Ovis aries: one gene and its partners. The protein of the gene in region 3 interacts with the protein of the main gene of each other region in a pairwise test. Links are inferred from orthologs where the notes say so. Each region holds a gene or a part of one and is shown on either strand. Other genes may lie near its edges.

Region 1 (4,131 bases), on a different chromosome or scaffold from region 3:
CGGGCGGGAGCGCGTCTCCAGGGTAACTGTGAAGTCTCCCTCCCCCTCCTCGTTGCTCTAGGAAACTCCGAAACTCTGCAAAGGTGGAGCCAGCCTTATCTCCGGCCCGGTCTCCAGCGGGAGGCGGCGGTTGAGCTGCGGCCCCCCCCATTGAGGCTCCTTCGGAGCTAGGTTGGTGAGCGGTGCGACGGGATGTCCCCGACTACAATCCCCAGCATGCTCTGCGACGTACCCCACTCGGGTGTCGCTAGCCGGGTCCTAAAGACCAGGCTTCCAGCTGTTTATTGTTCTATCCTTTATTTTGTGTGTAGGATCAATGCCCCGGGCCTCTTGTTTGAGACCTTGTCTTCTCTTCCTGCAGACTAAGAGGTCTTCGAGACCAACGAAGTGTTTCCGGAGTCCCCCAGCCCAGTTTGGTTTTTTTTTGAAGGTTATGCTCTCACAGAACTTTTGCCTCAATTTCTGAGGGTATTAACCATATGCCTGGTTACCAACTCGAGAATGAGATTCAAGTCTGGTTTAATATCTATTTCCTCTTTTCACTGTCTAGTAGAAAAGCACATACTCTTTGAATCGAATGCACAAAACCCCTTCTACCTTTATTGCCTTATTAATTTGCCAAACACCTTTTGGTACAAATCTTATTTCCAAACATTTCCTTGTAGCCTTTCCTTTGTTTTTCCCCATTTTATTGACGTTGCATATACCTTTTCTCAGTAGACAACATGGAGTAGACTTCATGAATACTTATTTTATTGGAGGGGCCTTATACTTGCGATTCTCCTTGCTCTAGGACTGGATCCCAGGAAAAAGAATAAATAGGTGCTTCAGTTCAGAAAAGTTAAACACTAACTCGTTGAAAATCTTCATACCAAGGTATCCAGAAAGTACCAAGATGACGCTTAGGAAAATCGTTTCGCTACTGGGTATAGAGCCGCGAAGCCAGGGTTTATTCTCAGGCCTTATTACCAAACGCTGAGGCCTTCTCTGAGCTCGGAGCATTTCCTGGGAAACTCGACCAACGGGTGCGCTCTGCGCACCACAGCCCCGCCTCTCTCTGCCGTTTCGGACTACTTTTCCCAGGATGCAACGTGGCGCTCAGAGGCCGTCAGACGAAGAAGACTCTCTTACCCAGCAAGCCCGAAGACGGCGCAGGGCCCTCGGACTTCATTTCCCGTCGGCCCGCAAGGGGAGCCCCGGAAGCCCGCCCCGCCCCTCATTGTGCGGCTCATACTAAACGGAAGGGGCCGGGAGAGGCCGCGTTCAGTCGGATCCCGGCAGCAGCTGCAGCGGCTCTCGTCTTTTGGCTCTCCTAGCTATCGCTTTTTCGCTTCCGGAAACATGGTGAGCGGCAGGCCACGGCGCCGCGGGGGAGGCAGCCGCGAGTCGATCATTCGGGCGCGCTAGAGGGAACGGGGGCGCGACGTCGGCACTCCCTTCCCGAGCTCCCGGGGCTGGACGAGGGTCTCGTGCTGAGGGGCGGGCGGCGCCGGGACGCGCGTGCGCGCCCGCGGGCTCCGGGGAGGGCTGGCTCGGACGTCGCTCGCGCGCCCCCTGGGCTCCCTTCCCCTCCCCCACCCGGCTGCTGCGCCCGCGCGGCCCAGGGCCGTGGGGGAGGGGTCCAGGGCGCGCGCGCGCCCGTCCCCTCGCGGGGCCGCCGAGTCGCTTCTCGGGGACGCGCGTCTCGACTGGAACACGCGGCATCCAAACCTGGCCCGGGGACGACGGAGGAAAAGCGCGCGAGCGGTCTTGGTGCGCGCCCCACCCAAGGGCTGTTCCTGTCTCCGCGTCACCCTCCCTCTCGAGCGGGGTCCGTCTCGAGAGCAGGTGGCAGGGATGCCCGCGAGGGGCGGGGGCGGCGCGGCTGGCGGGGGATGCGGGGGTGTCCTGGCGCAGGCGCCAGCGATTAGGGGCTTGCACCGCGCGCCACAGAGCGGACCGCGAAGGAGTCCTCGGCGGCCCTCCCGGGCTAGCGAGCCCCTGAAGGCGAGCCGGGTTCGCGGAGTACACCCGGCGGAGACTGGGACGGCGCTCCCGGCCGGCGCGTGCGCACACGGTCAGGCCTGGCCGCTGGGCCAGAAGCCGTGGACTAACGGGGCCTTCGGCTCTCCCGGATGGGGCCTGAGGGTGGAGCCGCGTTTAGGGAAGTGACCCAGGCGGGCACCGCCCGGAAACCACCCCGTCCCCTGTGTTCGGCCCGAGGACTGCGAGAGCCGAAGGTTGTGTAACTTGCCCAGGCCTGCAGCGCAGGGGGCCGATAAGCTCGTCGGCGCAGGCGATTCCATTGGGTTGAGGCCTTCCGAGATGCAGCTGCCGCTGGGTACGAGTTTTTTTCGGGGAGGGGGCTGACGCTAACCGATCTGCTTTCACCGCCTACTCCGGAAGCGGCTCAATCACGTGGCCGGCTTCCTCTGCAGTTCCGGGAGCGGGGGCAGATTTCACCGTGGACCGTCACTCCCTCTCCTGGCTAGGGTGTCCCCCAACACGACCTAGAAGTTTAAAGAGCTCTCAGAGACTGTGGGCACTTGAATTTGGACCGCTGACTCCTATCAGCGACTTGGGGGCCTGCATTTTTCCCATGTAGGGCCTTAATTAGGGGTTTGTTGTTGCTTTGGTTTGGGGAGACCCCAGCAGAGAAGGAATACCTTGTATAATAACTGCTTTGAACCGTCCTGATGGGCTTGCTAGAACTGTTGAGCCCCGTTGGTGGGTTCTGGTTCTATAGAGATGACTAGGATCTGGATCCCTTTCTGCTCTACGTGAAGTTCTGAGTCAGCACTTAATGCAAAAGCTGAGACTGGGTAGAAAACGGGGTCAGTAGTCTGTCGGTTCTTTTAATTTTGGACTCACATCTTGGCTGAGGCTCTGCTTCTCACAGATCTTGGATCTCTAGCCTGCAGGATGTCGGGATGGGGAGGAATGCTGTTGAATTATGCGATCAAAGGTCTCTTTTTCTTTGGCTGCTATTCTGGGATTGTGTCACATCTTAACTTTTGACGGTGACCTGGGTGGGAAAATAGTGCCACTAGTCCTGGGAAGGGGATTAGTAGTAACCTCTTGGGGCTGAGGACTATACTTTGTTGGCCTCTAGATAGATCTCCTAACAAAGCAAAAGAGGGACTTCAGGGCATGTCTCCTTACGAGGTGCATGTGGCTCATCCTATAGGCCTCCGGTGTGGCTGTCTCTGATGGGGTCATCAAAGTGTTCAACGACATGAAAGTGCGTAAGTCCTCAACACCAGAGGAAGTGAAGAAGCGCAAGAAGGCGGTGCTCTTCTGCTTGAGTGAGGACAAGAAGAACATCATCCTGGAGGAGGGCAAGGAGATCCTGGTGGGTGATGTGGGCCAGACGGTAGACGACCCCTATGCCACCTTTGTCAAGATGCTGCCAGACAAAGACTGCCGCTACGCCCTCTATGACGCAACCTACGAGACCAAGGAGAGCAAGAAGGAGGACCTGGTGTTCATCTTCTGGTGAGCTGCTCCTTGTAGGCACTTTGTCCTTTCACCTGCTCTAGCTCTGCCCCACCCCCCTTTCCAGGACAGGAAGGTCTGTGGCTCCGGCTTAATCCAGACACCTGCGTGTCAAGAGGAGGGTGTTGTAATAAAAGGCTTGTCAATGAGGAACTTGATGAAAGCGTGAATGCTTGGGCCCAGCTCAGGGGTTTCTGGAAGTTATTTATTGCTTGAGGGTACTTGCTGGGTTTGGAGCCAAATTCTCTTGATTCTGTTCTCTTCCAGGGCCCCTGAGTGTGCACCCCTTAAGAGCAAAATGATCTATGCCAGCTCCAAGGACGCCATCAAGAAGAAGCTGACAGGTAAGGGCCAGCACTGGTGGCGCCATATGCCCTGGTGCTTGGGCCTTGGCCGCTGGGTGGGGTGAATGGCATGGCCCAGGAGATCCCTGCCTGCTGGAAGGCAGCCTGGTCCCCTCCATCTGTTCAGACTGGCTCCTACCCAGCTGCAATACCCCCCACCCCCACCCTTCCTGCTCACAGATGCTCCCCCTTCTTCCCCACAGGGATCAAGCATGAATTACAAGCAAACTGCTACGAGGAGGTCAAGGACCGTTGCACCCTTGCAGAGAAGCTGGGGGGCAGCGCTGTCATCTCCCTGGAGGGCAAGCCTTTG
Region 2 (3,581 bases), on a different chromosome or scaffold from region 3:
TTCATCTCATCTCATCTGTGTAGCTGTAGATAAAACACCCCTCTCTCCACCCCACCCAATTTATCCTCCAACCCCAGCCTCCGTTCTCCATCCGCTTCCACGCCCTGTGCCCCTGTCCAGGCCCATTCGGCATTAGCCTCCTGCTCTTATCCTCCATCCTAACTTATGATCCTCAGAGGGATCACCACCACTCTCCCTTACTTCATTCTCTGACCCTCAAAATTCTATACCCAAATCACAATCCTTCATTCTCAACCCTCTGAAAACTGAGGCTTCTCCCGTCCTCCAGCTCAGGCCTTGTTGTGGGTCCTCCCTCCCACACCCAGGGCCTCCAGCACTCACTTCCCTCTGCTTCCTGGACGCAGATTCCAAGTCTCCCTACCTCTGTACGACCACCTTCACTCCTCTTCCCCTTCCCCAAGGACTGAATGGCCCCATCCTGAGGGAAAAAAAGCATCTCTCGTCTTCTTTCCTTAGTCCTTGCAGCCCCCAGCCATCCAAAGGAATTCTCTGCACCCATCTCCTCCTCTCCTTGCTCTCAATCAGCTCAACCTCCCCGCTGATTTCACGTCTCATCTTTGCCTGTCTCCTGTCCTAGGACCTCTCAGCTTCCTCTCGTGTCTCCACTTTTCTACCTGCAGAAGAATGGTATTTCCCTCTCCAACTACTCTCCTACCACCTCCTTCTCACCCCAGAACCTACTGCTGCCCAGCCTCTGCCTCCTCATTCCCAGGCTCAGTAACTCAGGAACCTCCTCTCCATCTTCTTGGTGAAACGTCAACAACTTCCCCCTTCCCGGGAACATCCCACAAGATCCTAGAATCTCACCCCTGACCCCAGTGTTCCCCTGAATCTCACAGCCAGCCTGGTACACTCCATTCCTCCCAGCCTACACCCCCAGAAGAGGAGACTGAGGGGGAAGAAGATGGGAAGTGGCCTGGAGAATGGGAGATCTCAAAAACAAGGTCTCCCGAGGACTGGAGAAGGGAAAACATACTGTGAGCACAGAAAAGAAGGGGAAACAGGTGGTGGTGAATAATAATGGGGGGGGGGGCACAGAAACAAATTTGCATGGAGGTAGAGTCCAAGAGGAGGAGAGAGAGGAGGCATAGGAGGAAAGGACAGAAGTGATGAGTAGGGAAGGGGGTTAACACAGAGAAAGCCGGCTGACCCAGGCAGAGGACTCATCCTGGCCAGAGAGCCTGAGCTGGGGATCGGGGAGAGGGAGAAGGAGAATGCGTGGGAGGAAGAGAGAGACAGCATCCAGCACCAGCCAGCAGAGAGGGAAAGGCATCGAGGGCGGGAGGGCACAGGAGGGGTGCACAGGCCGAGGCAGGGGACAGAGGCGGAAAGGCCAGGCAACCAGAAATCTCCGGCCAGACCGATGGAAAGGGCTGGAGAGCCAGGCCCAGAGGCCGGAAGCAGGGGGGGCGGGGGGGGGGGGTTGGCAGCGAAGGGCCAAGAGCAAATGAGGGCAGCAGGAGTTCTGAACAGAGCTCTGGACACAGAAAATGGAAACCGAGGTGGGGGTGCGTGAAGGAATGAAGAGGGCCCAGGCGCGGGGAGCATCCTGGGGAACGCACGCATCTCAACGCACGTGTGCGCACACACGCAGACACACACGCACACACACAACGGCTGTAAACTCTACACCCTCTCCCACTTGCCTGGCCTCTGTTTCTCCTCTTTGGGAACCAGGTGTTTCCGACGCCCCCAATGCCCCCTCCCCTGGCCCCAGGAGCCCAAGCCCAGCCCACCAGCCCCAGCCGCCCCCCACCTCCGGCTCTCGCCCTACCGGGCCTTGGGGTAGTTGTAGCTCCGAGGCTCCGAGGGCTGCACTGGGGAGGGGGCCGCCTGAGTCTCCTACCTTGAGGGGGGAGAAGTGGGCGTGGCCCACGACCCCTTGGACGGCCTCGAGGTGGGACAAGTTCCTCTCCGCCACGTGCACCAGCTCGGGGGCGTTTACCTGGTTGGGGAGGTGGGCCGGGCTGTGCTCCAGAGGGGGCGTGTCTTCATCTTGGTAGCGGTATTTCTGGGGACGGGGACGGAGGCGTCACGGGGGCCGGCCCAGCGCCTCGGGCTCCAGGCGGCCCGGCCCGGCGCGCCTCCGCTCCCCCGCCTGTGCAGTGCGGAAGGCCCTGGGGCCTGACCAGCTCCTCCCCCTCCCTGTCCTCCAGCCCATTGGCTCCCCTCTCTCCACCCTCCCCACAGCCCCCTCTCCCGCCAGGCCCTTGGCACCTCTCTTCTCTTCCCAAATCCGAACCCTCCCCGCAACTCTTCCAACTCCCAGCCTAGGACCCCCGCCTTCTCCCCAGCACACCCCTCCTCTGAAGTCCGTTTCTTCACCCCTTTCCCAGAGCTCTAGCCCCTCGGCCACGTGCACCCCTCCCCTTCTCTACTTCCATCCCCAGCATCTTTGCTTACCTCATCAGCTTCCCCCCACTTCCTCTTTACCTTAAGCCCATTCCCCATGTAACCTCCCTCCTTCGAGTTGCTTCTCCCATTCTGTACTCCATTCCACCCCGCTGCACCCTCCTTGCCTCAGTCTCCCTACTGCAGCCTCTGCCCCAGGAAGAAATCACTCCCCAGCACTTTGCAAGCCCCGGGCAGGGACCGCAGTCAGGCCCTTCAACTAGCAGGTACTTGGCATCAGCCCCCCTGACAGGACAAAGTGTCTAACCGGTCCAGCTGGCCTTGCTGGTTCCCAAGTCTTCGGCAAGGGGGCCCCAGGACTCCCCCACCTCTACAAATGCCCAGAGGCCAGCCAGCTAATCGGATATACTAGAAGAAGGGGGAGGGTGGGGGAGGAACAGAGATGGTAGGGCTCAGAAAGGGGGCAGGAATAGATGCCAGCTTCCAGGTTCAATAACTGCGGAAGTGGGTAGAACCTCAGAGTAAATTCCTGGTCTTCCTTTGGCCTTTAGGAGTGAAAGACCCAACCTGACCCCTGATTCCCCTTCCTAACTCACTGCATACCATCTCAAGGGCCTCCCTTACTAGCTTAATACAGACACCAGTCAATGAGATTAACGGAGGGACCAGAGAGGAGGGCAGCTGGAGACAGTAATGAAGGGTAGCGCCTCTGCCCCTCACAGAAGCAAACCCTTCCCAAGGCCAGGTTCTGTGAAGGAAGGGGAGGTTACCATGTGTAGGGCTCTCCCAGAGACTGCAGAAGACAGACTATGCTCCCCAGTACACATGGGTAAAAAGAGAAGGCAAGATTTCCCTCTCAAAAAAAGTATCTGAAAAGCTGAGAAGACCCCAACATTCAGAGGACAACTGGAGGAAGCTTATCAAGGTCAATGCCTGACACAGAGTATGATTCTGAAAATTCTGAGGATGAGGAACCAAGGCTGAGGATGCAGTCCACTTTGGCCATGGTTAAGGATAAAGTAAGAGAATAGGAAGAGGAAAATGGTCCATTAAGACTCTCCAATCCAGGACAGAGACAGCTGAGATCAAGGAACACCTTGATATATTTTGTTTTAAGGCTGCACCACTGAGCATGCAGGATCTTAGTTCCCTGACCAGGGATCAAATCCATGCCCCCTGCAGTGGAAGTGTGGAGTCATAACTACTGG
Region 3 (4,132 bases):
GTACAGAGTCACACTCGGAACAACAATGGCACGCTAATCCTCGCGCTCTAACTGGGCTCACTTGTGTGGGTCTGACAATTCACGGGGGGAAAGCGAGAAGAGACCAGCGAGGGTGCGAGTCGGTGTCGCCAGAGACGAGGAAGAGGACAGCTGCAGAACTAATTTGGATTACATTCCTTGCAGAAATTCTGAAAAGGGCTTTTCGGCATAGCTCAAGCCCGAGCCGCACAGTTAATACCCAATCGCTGCGGACTCGCAGCCGGGTCCCCCAGCGGCAGAGATTGCACCAGACAGCCCCCCAGTAGGTCGCCCGGTGGAAATTCCTCTCGGCTAAGCCTGCGTGTCAGTCGCAACTGCTTCTGAATGGTTCAATGTGCATAATCAACCCATTGAGGGGAAATATGAAGGGACGCGGAGTGGGGAGGGAGATAAAAAGGGATGTATCTAAGAGGCCGCTTGGAATCTCAAGTCGGTGTTGGTGTAATTCCGGAGGTGGCTGGAGCCCGGGACCTGGTATGCATGAAGAATTTCGGAGTAATTGGGAGGGTGCAAACGGCCAGAACAAACGGCGCACATTGTGCCATTCGAAGGTCATTTTGAAAGGCTCGAGGATTGTAACTTGTTATTTACTAGGCGAGGGGGGAGCGGGGGGAGGCGGCGGCGGCGGGGGCGGAGCGGGAAAACTCCAGCGCGCTGTTTTCTTGGTGAGGTCAGAAGGACACGCTCCGAGGGCCTGAAACTCTCCCTCTCGCCACTCCCCGGGGGCTTTATCTTCTCAAGGTGCCTCCCACGCCCTCGCGACCAGCCCCGTATGGTTCCGGACATCTCCCCGGCTCTCCAAAAGGCCCCCCTTGGCCACGTCAGTCCCCGGTTTTCCTGGCCCTTTCTTTCCTGTCCCACTTTCATCCTCAGGAAACTCAAGTGTCAGAAACTTTGAGCTCCCTGGGCCCGCAGGGGCTGTCATCCACCCTGCGGGCCCCGCCGCGCCTCCTCCCCGGGGGTCAGTTCGCCTCCTGCCCCGCGGGGTCCCGGGGCGCGAGCTCCCCGGGCAGCAGTGGTAGCGCACCCAGTGCCGCAGCACCCGCCTTGGGTTCTATCAATTCGCCTGACGGGTTGGCTCGGCAGCCGCGCCCGGCAGTAAACAGAAGTTGGAGGGACTCCGGCCAATAGCAAGTTGAACTACAGGAAGAACTCTTCCTGAAGCCAAACACAGAAACCGACGGGAAGGCCGGGCTCCCGGCTTAAGTCAGTCAGGCCATTAAAAAAAAAAAAAAAAAAAAAAGGTCAAGCAAGCCAGCCAGCCCCCCTTAGTCCGCGGGGCGAGGGCTGGGGACGCCAGCGGAGGCCTTGCGTTCCCGGGCCCCCCGGCCGAGGCGTGTCCTCCCGCCGTGCTCCAGCTCCCAGGCTGGGCTCGAGTCGGGTCTGACCCCGCAGGCTCGGACGGCCAGGGACGCAGCGGCCGCGGGCAGCGCACACAGGTGCAAAGCCGGCTCTCGGAGCTCCTCTCCCCACTGCCCTCCCGCTCCCCGGAGCCCAGCTGCCACGGCCCCGGGATCCCAATCCTGCCTCGGAGCCCCGGCAGGGCAACGCTTCTCCGAGGCTTCTTCCCTCGCGGGCGGGGGCGGGGGGTAGGCAGACGCTGCAAGGAGCGTCTCCTCTGACTCCGGCTTTGGGTCTCCCACGTCCCGCACAACAGGCGCTACCAGAAGGGATCCGGCTTAGAGAGGCTCGAAGAAAACGCGCGAGAAATAAACAAGGGGAGAGAGAAAGAAAAGGGACGGAGAAAGGGGCGCAGAGTGGTTTTTCACGAGAAACACATGCCCACGCAGAGGGTAAGTTTGGGATAGAAAGAGGGGCGAACGAAAAACACAAGGAAGAGGCGCGGGTGACGTGGTCCCTCCACGCCCGAGAGCGAGAGGGTCTCTGGTTGGGCTAAGGGCGCAGGGGGCGAGGAGCCACCCGGCGCCGCTCGGCCGGCAGCAGCAGGTTCAACCCTGGGAGCGCGAGAAGGACCGCGACCCACCTGACTGAGAAGAGCTGGGCTGGACGGTCCCCGCCGCCACGAGAAGGCTCACCCAGACCCACAGTCCTGTCGCCAGCTTCATTTTTTGGAAGTCTCAGATCCAGTGCTGACAATTACATGTCCAAATGGCATAATCCCCTTTCGGGCACGCGGAGGAGATCCCTCGGCCGGGCGCGCGTGGGGGCTCGAGGGGCACTGGCGCGCGCGGTGCACCAGCTCCGAGCGCGGGCGACCGAGTCCGCGTCCGCGGGTCTAGGGCCCGGACCCGGAGGACCGGGAGAGGGTGCGCGGGAGGGCGCGCGCGGGTGGGAGTGTACTGGAGGGTGTGCGGCGGCGCTCCGGGCCGGACCGGGCAGCTACGTCCCCGTGTGAGCCTCCGTTTTCTCGCTCCCTCCTCACTTTCTCGCTCTCTCTCCCTGGTTGGCCAACAATAAAAAGAAAGGGTTCGGAAGAGGGTTTCCAAAAAAAAAAAAAGTTGATTGCAAACAGGCGGTAGGTTTCCGGCCTCTCCCCCCAGCCCGACTCTGTTCGACTCCCTTTTCAGTTTCCTTGCACCTCCAGTCCAAATTGGGAGGAAAGGGGCGGGAGGGGGAAGCTTCTCGCTTCACCCCCAATCCTGTCCTTTTTTTTTTTTTTTTGCTGTCAGCTTTCTTCACACTTGTCCGGCGGCTGCGGTAATTAAAGCTCCGAGCGTCATTTCCAACGCTCCGCGGTCTCCAGCTGCAGCCCCACCGAGAAATTAATAAGACTCCGTCCGGGAGGAAAAAAAAAAAGGTTGGGGGCGAGCGGGCGGTGGGTAAAACAACCCTCCACGCAGCCAGGCTGGCTCTGCTCAGCCGCGCAAACCCCGCCCCCGCTCTGACCCAACTAGCCACGCCTTCCCCCCCAAAGGGAAATCTTATTGGTTCAGCCACTCCCCAAAATCGTGGGCCTCAGGAGTTGGGAAAACACCTGTCAGGGAGCTGGGAGCCTAGCGGTGGGGGCGGGGGGAGCTGAATTTAAAGGGCTCACCGGAGGCCACAAACTGAATCAGAGACCACCCCCCCCCACCCCCAGACACACGGCGGACAGCTGGCCCGGAAAGCGTGGAGACCACCTGAGAGATGCTTTACAAAAAAGATTTTTTTTTTAGCCAGAAAGTCACCATTTACTCCACACTCCACGGTGCTCATCCACAGACTGGACCTGCCCTAGAAACAGAAGAAAAGAATACGCTGCTTCAATTGTATTAGGCTACCTCGCTTCCTACTTCCTCGTGCTTCACATTCAGACAGTAGTTCAAAAGCTGGTTCAGTAATTGTTAACATCTGCGGAGTAGGTAGTCCTGGGAACCTAAGCACTCCTCTTTCTTCAGTCTGTATAACTAACTATACAACCTCTCCCATCATTCCCACGCTCGCAAATTGATCAAACTAGACTTTCACTTTTGTAGAGCTGCATCCTTAGATTTTTTAGACTTTATGGGGTCACTTCATCTTTTCCTTGGACTCTAGAACAACTTGGTTTTAGGTTCATTCTCATTAAGCCGATTCTAGTCCAAAGCCACCAATTTGGTTCTAAATGGCTAGAAATTGATGCAGGGCTGAGCTGATCAGTCTGAAATAACTTAAGGCAAATGATAGGATATAACCAACCTTAAATAATTAGGTTTATCCTACAGTGGGTCCTGCTTTAGTCCTCTTCCATGTTCATACGACCTCCAGAAGTCATTGCTAGCCATAGGAGTTTCTGAACTCTTCTTAGTCTGAAACATATGGGATTGGATTATATCAGTGCACATATCCCTTGCTTTTTACAACTCTGAAACTGTACCCAGGACAAAGGCCAGAACCTCCTGAGGGCAGGGGATTATTGGTTTGCTATTTGCACAGGCGTTCTATGAATGATTTTCCCTTTTCAGCTTCTCTAGAAGCAGCAACTACATAAAAGTATCAGGGGAGCTTAAAAATTAAGTCACCCTGCCTCCTCGCTCATCATTTGAGACCTTCCTATTCCTCCCCCACGTCTTTTATCTATAGTTGTGTCCCTTAAGAATTTGCGTGGAGTTGGAACAGAGTGAAACAGCAGCTTCTTCCCAGAGGCCTCAGCCTTCCCTTTCTTAGGTCCACA

What was found.
Region 1: the proteins of ERBB4 (region 3) and CFL1 interact in a protein complementation assay, tested with the Homo sapiens proteins (2 studies listed by BioGRID and IntAct, with this or other methods). The link is inferred for Ovis aries from reciprocal best matches to the Homo sapiens genes ERBB4 and CFL1.
Region 2: the proteins of ERBB4 (region 3) and DLG4 interact in binary tests that used the Homo sapiens proteins (3 or more experiments, as listed by UniProt). The link is inferred for Ovis aries from reciprocal best matches to the Homo sapiens genes ERBB4 and DLG4.

The regions. Positions count from the first base shown.
Region 1 is NC_056074.1:40,409,085-40,413,215, reverse strand, and holds the start of CFL1 (cofilin-1), read left to right. Parts: upstream 1-1,330; 5' UTR 1,331-1,341; coding exon 1,342-1,344; intron 1,345-3,166; coding exon 3,167-3,474; intron 3,475-3,741; coding exon 3,742-3,818; intron 3,819-4,021; coding exon 4,022-4,131.
Region 2 is NC_056064.1:26,812,927-26,816,507, forward strand, and holds part of DLG4 (disks large homolog 4), read right to left. Parts: intron 2,033-3,581; coding exon 1,796-2,032; intron 440-1,795; coding exon of another isoform or gene 383-439; intron 1-382. UniProt on the Homo sapiens protein: Postsynaptic scaffolding protein that plays a critical role in synaptogenesis and synaptic plasticity by providing a platform for the postsynaptic clustering of crucial synaptic proteins.
Region 3 is NC_056055.1:214,424,382-214,428,513, forward strand, and holds the start of ERBB4 (receptor tyrosine-protein kinase erbB-4), read right to left. Parts: upstream 2,858-4,132; 5' UTR 2,106-2,857; coding exon 2,024-2,105; intron 1-2,023. UniProt on the Homo sapiens protein: Tyrosine-protein kinase that plays an essential role as cell surface receptor for neuregulins and EGF family members and regulates development of the heart, the central nervous system and the mammary gland, gene transcription, cell proliferation, differentiation, migration and apoptosis.